Linked DNA regions of Sus scrofa. The protein of the gene in region 1 binds, or shares a complex with, the protein of each later gene. Links are inferred from orthologs where the notes say so. Each region holds a gene or a part of one and is shown in the gene's direction. Other genes may lie near its edges.

Region 1 (3,817 bases):
TCCTTTTAAAAAGTTAATTCTGTCACTTACAGGACCGTAACTCTTGACCAGGCAACAGATAGTGCAAAAGTAATTGGAAAGGCTACGCTAAACATGTTTCATGCAATGAAACTCAACATATCGGATATGAGAGGGGTAAGTAGGTACCATTTTAAAATAGGACCCTGTGTCGTGTTTTTCTTGATCGTGGTATGATCTGAGGCCTTCATGTGTGAGATGCAGAGGGGTTTATATGCAGTCTTTTCAGCTCCACTGATGTAATACGAGAAGAGAAACTGAAAGCCTCTTGACTTTCTCACCTGAGCTGGTCCCCGTACTTAAGAGTTACTTGAGTTCTGAATCCTCTTTCTGCTTAGAGTAACAAGTGTCCTATCTTGAGTTGTTAGGTACCTTCCTTTTAAACAACCAAGGGCCTACTTTGCCTGCAGTGTCTTGCTTCCTGCCCTTGTTCCCCTAGAGGTAGGTGGGTCGGCGGGGGGGTGGGGGGGCGCGCCAGCGTGAAGCCGCCTGTAATTCCTGACTTCTGAGGGCCTTTTAGTCTACTGTCTGATAGATGATCTTCAGGGGGAATTTACCACAGGTGTATTAAGGTGCCTTTGCAACAGATTGGTGAGAGGGCATCAAAAAATGTGAGAATCTTAATTTTTTTCAAGATGAGCCTGTGGGTGGTTGTATTTAGGTACACACATGAGTAGAGGCCGGTCACGGACTGGGCGTGGGTTTTGTGGAAGGAGCAGGAAATTAGTTCCTAAGCCTGCTGGGGTGGGGCTCCATGCCAGGGCTGTGCTACCCAGCACATTTGGCTCCTCTGCACAGAGTACTGCAGGGACCCACTCCCCCAACCCCACCCCACCCCACCCCACAAAGCTGGTTTTCACTCACAGAGCACTGCATCTTAAAAAGACAAATGATAGATGAAGTTGCAAGTACACTGTCCCCCATGTAAACATTTTTATAATCTTATTTTAAAAACATAATTGATGAGAACTTCAGTGGGATATAGTACTCCACTTTTTTGGATTTTCTGATTGTGAAGCAATCATATTTGGGTAGAAGTGGATACTCCTTAGATTGAGGTGAGTAATTGCTCACTAGCTAGTACAGAGGTGGTATTTGAAATAAATCATAGAAACACTTTTGAAGGTATTCCGTTTGAATACTTTCATTTAACCTTTTTCCGTAGAAACCTATTTGTTATTCTGGTTCTAGGTTGGGATTCTAGTGAATCAGTTGGTTCCGACTAATCCGAACCCTTCAGCTGGTCCCAGTCACCCAGCAGTGCAGTCGAGCCACTTTCCTGGCAGCTCACACTCTGTCCTCGATCTCCTCCAAGTTCAAAAAACGAAGAAGCCCCCAGAAGAGGAGCACAAGGAAGGTCAGTGTCGTCAGGAGGCTGTTAGTGTCCACGTTGTGTGGCACAGCTCCATGTGACTTCAGGACCAGACTGACATTCTGAACTAAGATGCCCCCTCCCTCCCCACTACCCGACGCTATTTTCTGTACTTTTCAGTATTTCTAGCTGCGCTGGATCTGGAAATATCATCCGCCTCCAGCACTTGCACTTTTTTACCATCTCTTTCTGCACATCCGACATCAGGTGCCAGTGCTGCCACCAGCAGAGCGGAGCCCTCAGGGAAGTGGAACGGCCTGCGCTCTCCCCTCAGTTTAAAGTCAAGACTTAACCTTAGTATAGAGGTCCCGTCGCCTTCCCAGGTATATTTTCTTTTCTTTTCTTTTCTTTTTTTGTCTTTTGTCTTTTGTCCTTTTAGGGCTGCACTTTGGGCATATGGAGGTTCCCAGGCTAGGGGTCTAATTGGAGCTGTAGCCACCAGCCTACACCAGAGCCACAGCAACATGGGATCCGAGCCACGTCTGCAACCTACATCACAGCTCGCAGCAGTGCCGGATCCTTAACCAACTGAGTGAGGCCAGAGATCGAACCTGCAACCTCATGGTTCCTAGATGGATTCGTTAACAACTGAGCCACGACGGGAACTCCCCCAGGTATATTTTAAACATTGTAAATAGGACTGAAGTACAAAGCGGATTCCCAACAGGAAGAATGTTTTTCATTTCTGTATCAGTACAGAGCTAGGAAAGGGAGGAGGGGTACCTGCTGGGGCGAGCCCTGGGGTCACCAGATCCCGGATGGGGAATAATCAGCTTAGGGCCAAGATGACGCTTTTGCCAAGACCTGCAGCTCCTGCAGGCTTTAAAACACAGGTGAGAGCTGGTTCTGTGAATGGCTGCTATCAGCAGCCACCATCTGTCTCCCAGTGGTAATCCCGGGGACCTAACTGTCCAGCAGCACGGCTTTGGTGCGCATTAGTAGAGGCCTTAGGCCAGAGGTTTTTCTCGCAGCATTTGCCAACAGTTTCCTCTGCGGGGTGAATCCTTTTCCTCACCCAAGCCATGAACTCTGAGTGGGCTCCAGCTGTGGAATGCTGTTGGCATTTTTGCTCCTTGGAAACTTAAAATAGCACTCTAAACTCTGCCGGGAAAATCAGTTTTCTTTTCCCCTAAGGCTGAGGTAGGAGGCTGAGGATGTGCATGCTGCATCTGAGGCTGGGGAAGGGATCTTGCCATGTGCTTGTGTGGGGTCCCTGGGGCTGGGGGGCTCCCCAGAGGGGCCACCTGGGCTTAGGGACCTGCATCTTTCCACAGGTGGGCAGACGATTCTAGTGTGTGGCTTCTAGAATCCCTTTTGACTAGCTCGATGCTCAGCCTAAATGTGTTTATAGTTGGGGGCAGATAGTATCCTGTCTAAAAGGTAAACTTCCGACCCAGGACCATTACTCCTTCCCAGCAGTTGGGCATGTGCCTGGGGCACTGGCCGCTCCCCCTGAGTGTCACCAGGACTCTGCCTGTCTGCCTGCTCTTGGGCCAGAGGTTCAGTGAGGACATTTGGCTTAGCTGACCCTGTGGTACTGGGCAGTGGCGTGCACCTGCCATCTGCAGATTCCACGCATGGCTGACGAGGCTTCAATGACAAAAACCCAAAGACATTCCAAAAATGTGCTGGTTCTTAGCAAAAAAAACCAACCCCCCCCCCAAAAAAAATTCCCATTGTGGCTCAGTGGTAATGAAATATCCATGAGGCTGTGGGCCCAATCCCTGGCCTTGCTCTCAGTGGGTTAAGGATCCAGCCTTACTGTGAGCTGTGGTGTAGGTCGCAGGCACCAGCTCAGATCCCACGTTGCTGTGGCTGTGGCACAGGCCGGTGGCTACAGCTCTGATTCGACCCTTAGCCTGGGAACCTCCATATGCCGTAAGTGTGGCCCTAAAAAGAAAAAAAACAAAAAAACAAAACCAACCAAACATGCTGGTTGGGGGAGTGGCTCTCCTCGCCCCACCACCTGCACCTTCCATTCTCTGTTGAGAACGTTCACATTGAAGTGACACATTAACTCCCGACACATCGTCTCTGTGCACGCTGTAACGTCACACTGTCTGCTGTTTCACAGCTCGACCCGTCTGTTCTGGAAGCTCTTCCACCTGATCTCCGGGAGCAAGTGGAGCAAGTGTGTGCTGTTCCGCAAGCAGAGCCACATGGTGACAAGAAGAGAGAGCCAGTCAATGGCTGCAGTACAGGAATTTTGCCGCAACCAATTGGGACAGTTTTGTTACAAATACCAGAACTTGAAGAATCTAACGGGGATACAGAAATTAGTGTAATAGCCCTGCCAGCGTTTTCCCAGGTGGGTTAAGTGGAGGGCTCATCTTCCACTCTGGTCTCCATGTCCTCAGCCATCCTGCTCGGCTCAGACACTTGTCACTTCCTTTTCTCTTCACACCACGGCTAAGGCAGGGCAGGGGA
Region 2 (3,817 bases), on another chromosome or scaffold:
GATAAGCTTAGCATCACTAGTATTGACATAATTGACATTGTGTATCTGCCCACATGGTACTCAGAGAAAAGCAGAACATGTCCATAATATTCTTGCCCAAAATGCATAGCCTCAGTCTAATGAAGAGAAAACAGCAAACAAACCTAAATTGAAAAGATATTCTCAAAGTAACTTAGTAGTTCCCTTCAAAAGTGCAGGGGAGTTCCTGTCATGGCTCAGTGGTTAACGAATCCGACTACGAACCATGAAGTTGCGGGTTCGATCCCTGGCCTCGATCATTGGGTCAGGGATCCGGTGTTGCCATGAGCTATGGTGTATTTGCAGACTCTGCTCGGATCCTGAGTTCCTTTCGTAGACTGGCAGCTACAGCTCCGATTAGACCCGTAGCCTGGGAACCTCCATGTACTGTGGGTGTGGCCCTAGAAAAGACAAAAAAAGACCAAAAAAAAAAAAAGTGCCAAGAACATGAAAAACATGAAGTGTCACAGATTGGAGAAGACTAAGGAGACATGATGACTAAATTGAATCCCGGAACCAAAAATGGGCATTAGTGGAATAACTAGTAAAATTCAAGTAAAGTAGTGTGAATGTTATACCAGTTTTCGTTTTTAGTTTTAATAATTGTGCTGTGTTAATGTTAGCCTTAGGGGGAAGTGGGTGTAGGAGAGCCCTATTATATTTGCAATTTTCCTGTAAGTTTTAAAGCATTTCAGAATAAAAAGTTTTAAAAATTCACATGGCTGCTATGATATTATATATCATTTTCTGCTTCTCTTTTGCCTGAATTGGTATTTGAGATTTGTCTTTAAACTAAATTAACTGTTGGCCTTATCCCTCCACTGATGTGCATTGTGGTTCTAATTTGCATTTCCCTATGACTAATGATGCTGAGCCCGTTTTCATATGTCTGTTGACTCTTCGTTTCTTTTGTAAGGTGTCAGTTCTTTTGGGGGATGGGTATTTTTAAAGCTTTTAATATTATTACCTTCCTAAAGTTGTATCAACTTATTATTCTCCTACCAGCAATGTATGAAAATGTCTGTTTCATTCTCGTTAGTTTCCATGCTCCCATGTTTAGATAATTCAGCAATGGAAGACTGACGATGTAATTTTTCTTGGTACTTTGGCTTAGGTATCCTTTCTAACCATCCATAAAATTTTGTCTTACAGAAAAATGTCTAATGGACAAGACCGGGTAGTTGCTCTACTGGACATGGACTGTTTTTTTGTTCAGGTGGAGCAGCGGCAAAATCCTCATCTGAAGAATAAACCTTGTGCAGTTGTGCAGTACAAATCATGGAAGGGTGGCGGGTATGTACCGTAGTTACTGTTATAACTTTCAACTGCTATTTTTATCTGTAAGAATACATGGCACTATGCTAGGTCCTACATTTGAGATTTCTCAACTGCTGTGATTGAGAGTGAATAGTAGTATCAGTGACCTAAAAGTTTCTATTATGAAGTTTATAGCTTATTCATCCTGTTAAATTTTAATGATTTTTGCTTGTGATCATGTATTATTTTTTTGTTCCCCTTTTTTCCTAACCATAGAATAGTTTCAGTAAGTTATGAAGCTCGTGCATTTGGGGTCACTAAAAGCATGTGGGCAGATGATGCTAAGAAGTTATGTCCAGATCTTCTCCTGGCACAAGTTCTTGAGTCCCGTGGAAAAGCTAACCTCACCAAGTAAGAAACAAAGATTACAGGGAATGGAAGACTGGGAAGAGTTTCATGAGGCTTAGAATTAATGTTTCTAATTTGTTTTGTGTAAGTAACTCTGAAAAAATTCCTTTTCAGTCAGTGTGAAATGAAAAAATTTTAATGCTGTGTTTTAAGAACAATTCAGAGTCATTATTACTTATAATAATTGCTACCTTTAATGCCCTTTCAGTTCCTTAGTTATTTAAAAATTGGTTGTTATATTTAAGACTTAATATCAGTTCCCATGTTGTAAAGCCAAAAGTCTGAAGTATTTGGAGTAATTGAATTGACTGTGAAAACTAAGAGTTTTTCCAGAGAAGGCTAAAGTCAGATTCACATTCTAGCACAGTATCTGGAATCATTTGCCAGAACTGAACAATCTCGAAGAAGCTTACCTTCTCTGTTTTTGAACTGAGCTACCTCTCCCAGATTTTAGAAAGTTAGCTTTGGAATGAGAGACATTAGTATAGGCATGGCCAGGTTAGAGGTAGCTACAAGCCCCAGCCGTTGTAACATTCTAAGAGCTCATATATATTGAGCATATGTCATATGCCATTCACTGGCAATGTCTCTTAAATAACACATTGTTAAAAGGTAGGTTTTAGTATTACCCCACTCTCCACTCCTCCCTCCCCTACACACACACACACACACACACACACACACACACACACACACACACACGTGTGCGCACACATAGATGAGGAAACAAGTTTAGAGAGGTTAAATAATTTAAGTTCTCATAGCTAGAAAGTAAAAGGTTTCCGTTTTTTTCAGATTTCCACATTCTCGCAGTACACTACACTGTGTGATGTGTGATCATGCTTTGAATTGGAACTTGAGGTGTTCTTGAGTTCACCTATAAATTAGTCTAAAGGTGGAGTGTCACAGCCAACCTCCTCACATTGGAGTTATTGCCAGAAAAGAAGAGATTTGAAGTTCTCTTGTGGCATAGTGCATTTCACTGCTGTGGCCCCAGCCACTCCTGTGGCAGGTTTAAACCCTAGCCCAGGAACTTCTGCATGCCATGGGTGTGGCCAAAAAAAAGAGAGACAGAGAGAGATTAGACTTAAGATGAACACCCTATTGACGATCCGGCATTGCCGTGAGCTGTGGTGTAGGTCGCAGATGCGGCTCGGATCCTGCGCTGCTGTGGCTCTGGTGTAGGCCAGTGGCTATAGCTGTGATTCGACCCCTAGCCTGGGAACCTCCATATGCCGCAGGAGCGGCCCAAGAAAAGGCAAAAAGACAAAAAAAAAAAAAAAAAAAAAAAAAGATGAACACCCTAATCCTAAAGTAGAATTAATTTAGCTAATGTCCTTATACTACATTTCATTGAATAGAATTTTATGCTGGTAAAGACAGAGAAACTTCCTAGAAATATAGTTGACTTCAGGATGTGATTTAGATCATTTATTTTACCTTTTTTAAAATTTATTTTACTCTTAATATCTTCATCAAAAAAAAAATCTTCATTAAATAATGAACAAAGGCAGTTTCAGAAAATTTAGGAGTAAAGTAGACCAGAGAGTTATTAAGACCTAATAATTTAAATTACTATTTTAATAATTAAACTGAGATACTAGGTTATAACAATAAAAATATGATTTGCAAAAACATATATATGCTCTAAGTTTATGAAATGATCTTATTTTATTTATTTATTTTTTTTGGCTTTTTGCCTTTTCTAGGGCCACTCCTGTGGCATATGGAGGTTCCCAGGCCTAGGGGTCCAATCGGAGCTGTAGCCACCAGCCTACGCCAGAGCCACAGCAACGCGGGATTCCATCCATGTCTGCATCCTACACCACAGCTCATGGCAACACCAGATCCTCAACCCACTGAGCAAGGGCAGGGATCGAACCCACAACCTTATTGTTCCTAGTCAGATTCATTAACCACTGCGCCACGATGGGAACTCCTGAAATAATTTCAAAAATACCTTGGAGTAACTACTTCAGAGTCAGTGGAGGAACACAAACTACTACAGTAGAGTATCCTTTCCTTGCTCTGTAGATGTGTGAGTATATTGTGTGCCTATGTTCTTGTGCATGATCCCACTCTTTTTTTTTCTTTGAGTCTGACTGTTCTCTGTCCAGCCCAACAAATGATTAAA

Evidence for each region.
Region 2: the proteins of REV1 (region 1) and POLH are in contact, whole or in part, in an NMR structure (PDB 2LSK), measured with the Homo sapiens proteins. The link is inferred for Sus scrofa from reciprocal best matches to the Homo sapiens genes REV1 and POLH. Residues at the interface, in NP_057400.1 of Homo sapiens: Asn1158, Leu1159, Ala1160, Gly1161, Leu1171, Leu1172, Trp1175, Ile1179, Asp1181, Pro1182, Met1183, Glu1185, Asp1186, Gln1189, Val1190; in NP_006493.1 of Homo sapiens: Thr528, Glu529, Pro530, Phe531, Phe532, Lys533, Lys535, Ser536, Leu539.

Annotation. Positions count from the first base shown.
Region 1 is NC_010445.4:54,855,518-54,859,334, forward strand, and holds part of REV1 (DNA repair protein REV1), read left to right. Parts: intron 1-32; coding exon 33-135; intron 136-1,209; coding exon 1,210-1,375; intron 1,376-1,510; coding exon 1,511-1,713; intron 1,714-3,464; coding exon 3,465-3,698; intron 3,699-3,817. UniProt on the Homo sapiens protein: Deoxycytidyl transferase involved in DNA repair. Transfers a dCMP residue from dCTP to the 3'-end of a DNA primer in a template-dependent reaction.
Region 2 is NC_010449.5:38,572,029-38,575,845, forward strand, and holds part of POLH (DNA polymerase eta), read left to right. Parts: intron 1-1,170; 5' UTR 1,171-1,174; coding exon 1,175-1,311; intron 1,312-1,551; coding exon 1,552-1,686; exon of another isoform or gene 1,687-1,747; coding exon of another isoform or gene 1,748-1,767; intron 1,768-3,817. UniProt on the Homo sapiens protein: DNA polymerase specifically involved in the DNA repair by translesion synthesis (TLS). Due to low processivity on both damaged and normal DNA, cooperates with the heterotetrameric (REV3L, REV7, POLD2 and POLD3) POLZ complex for complete bypass of DNA lesions.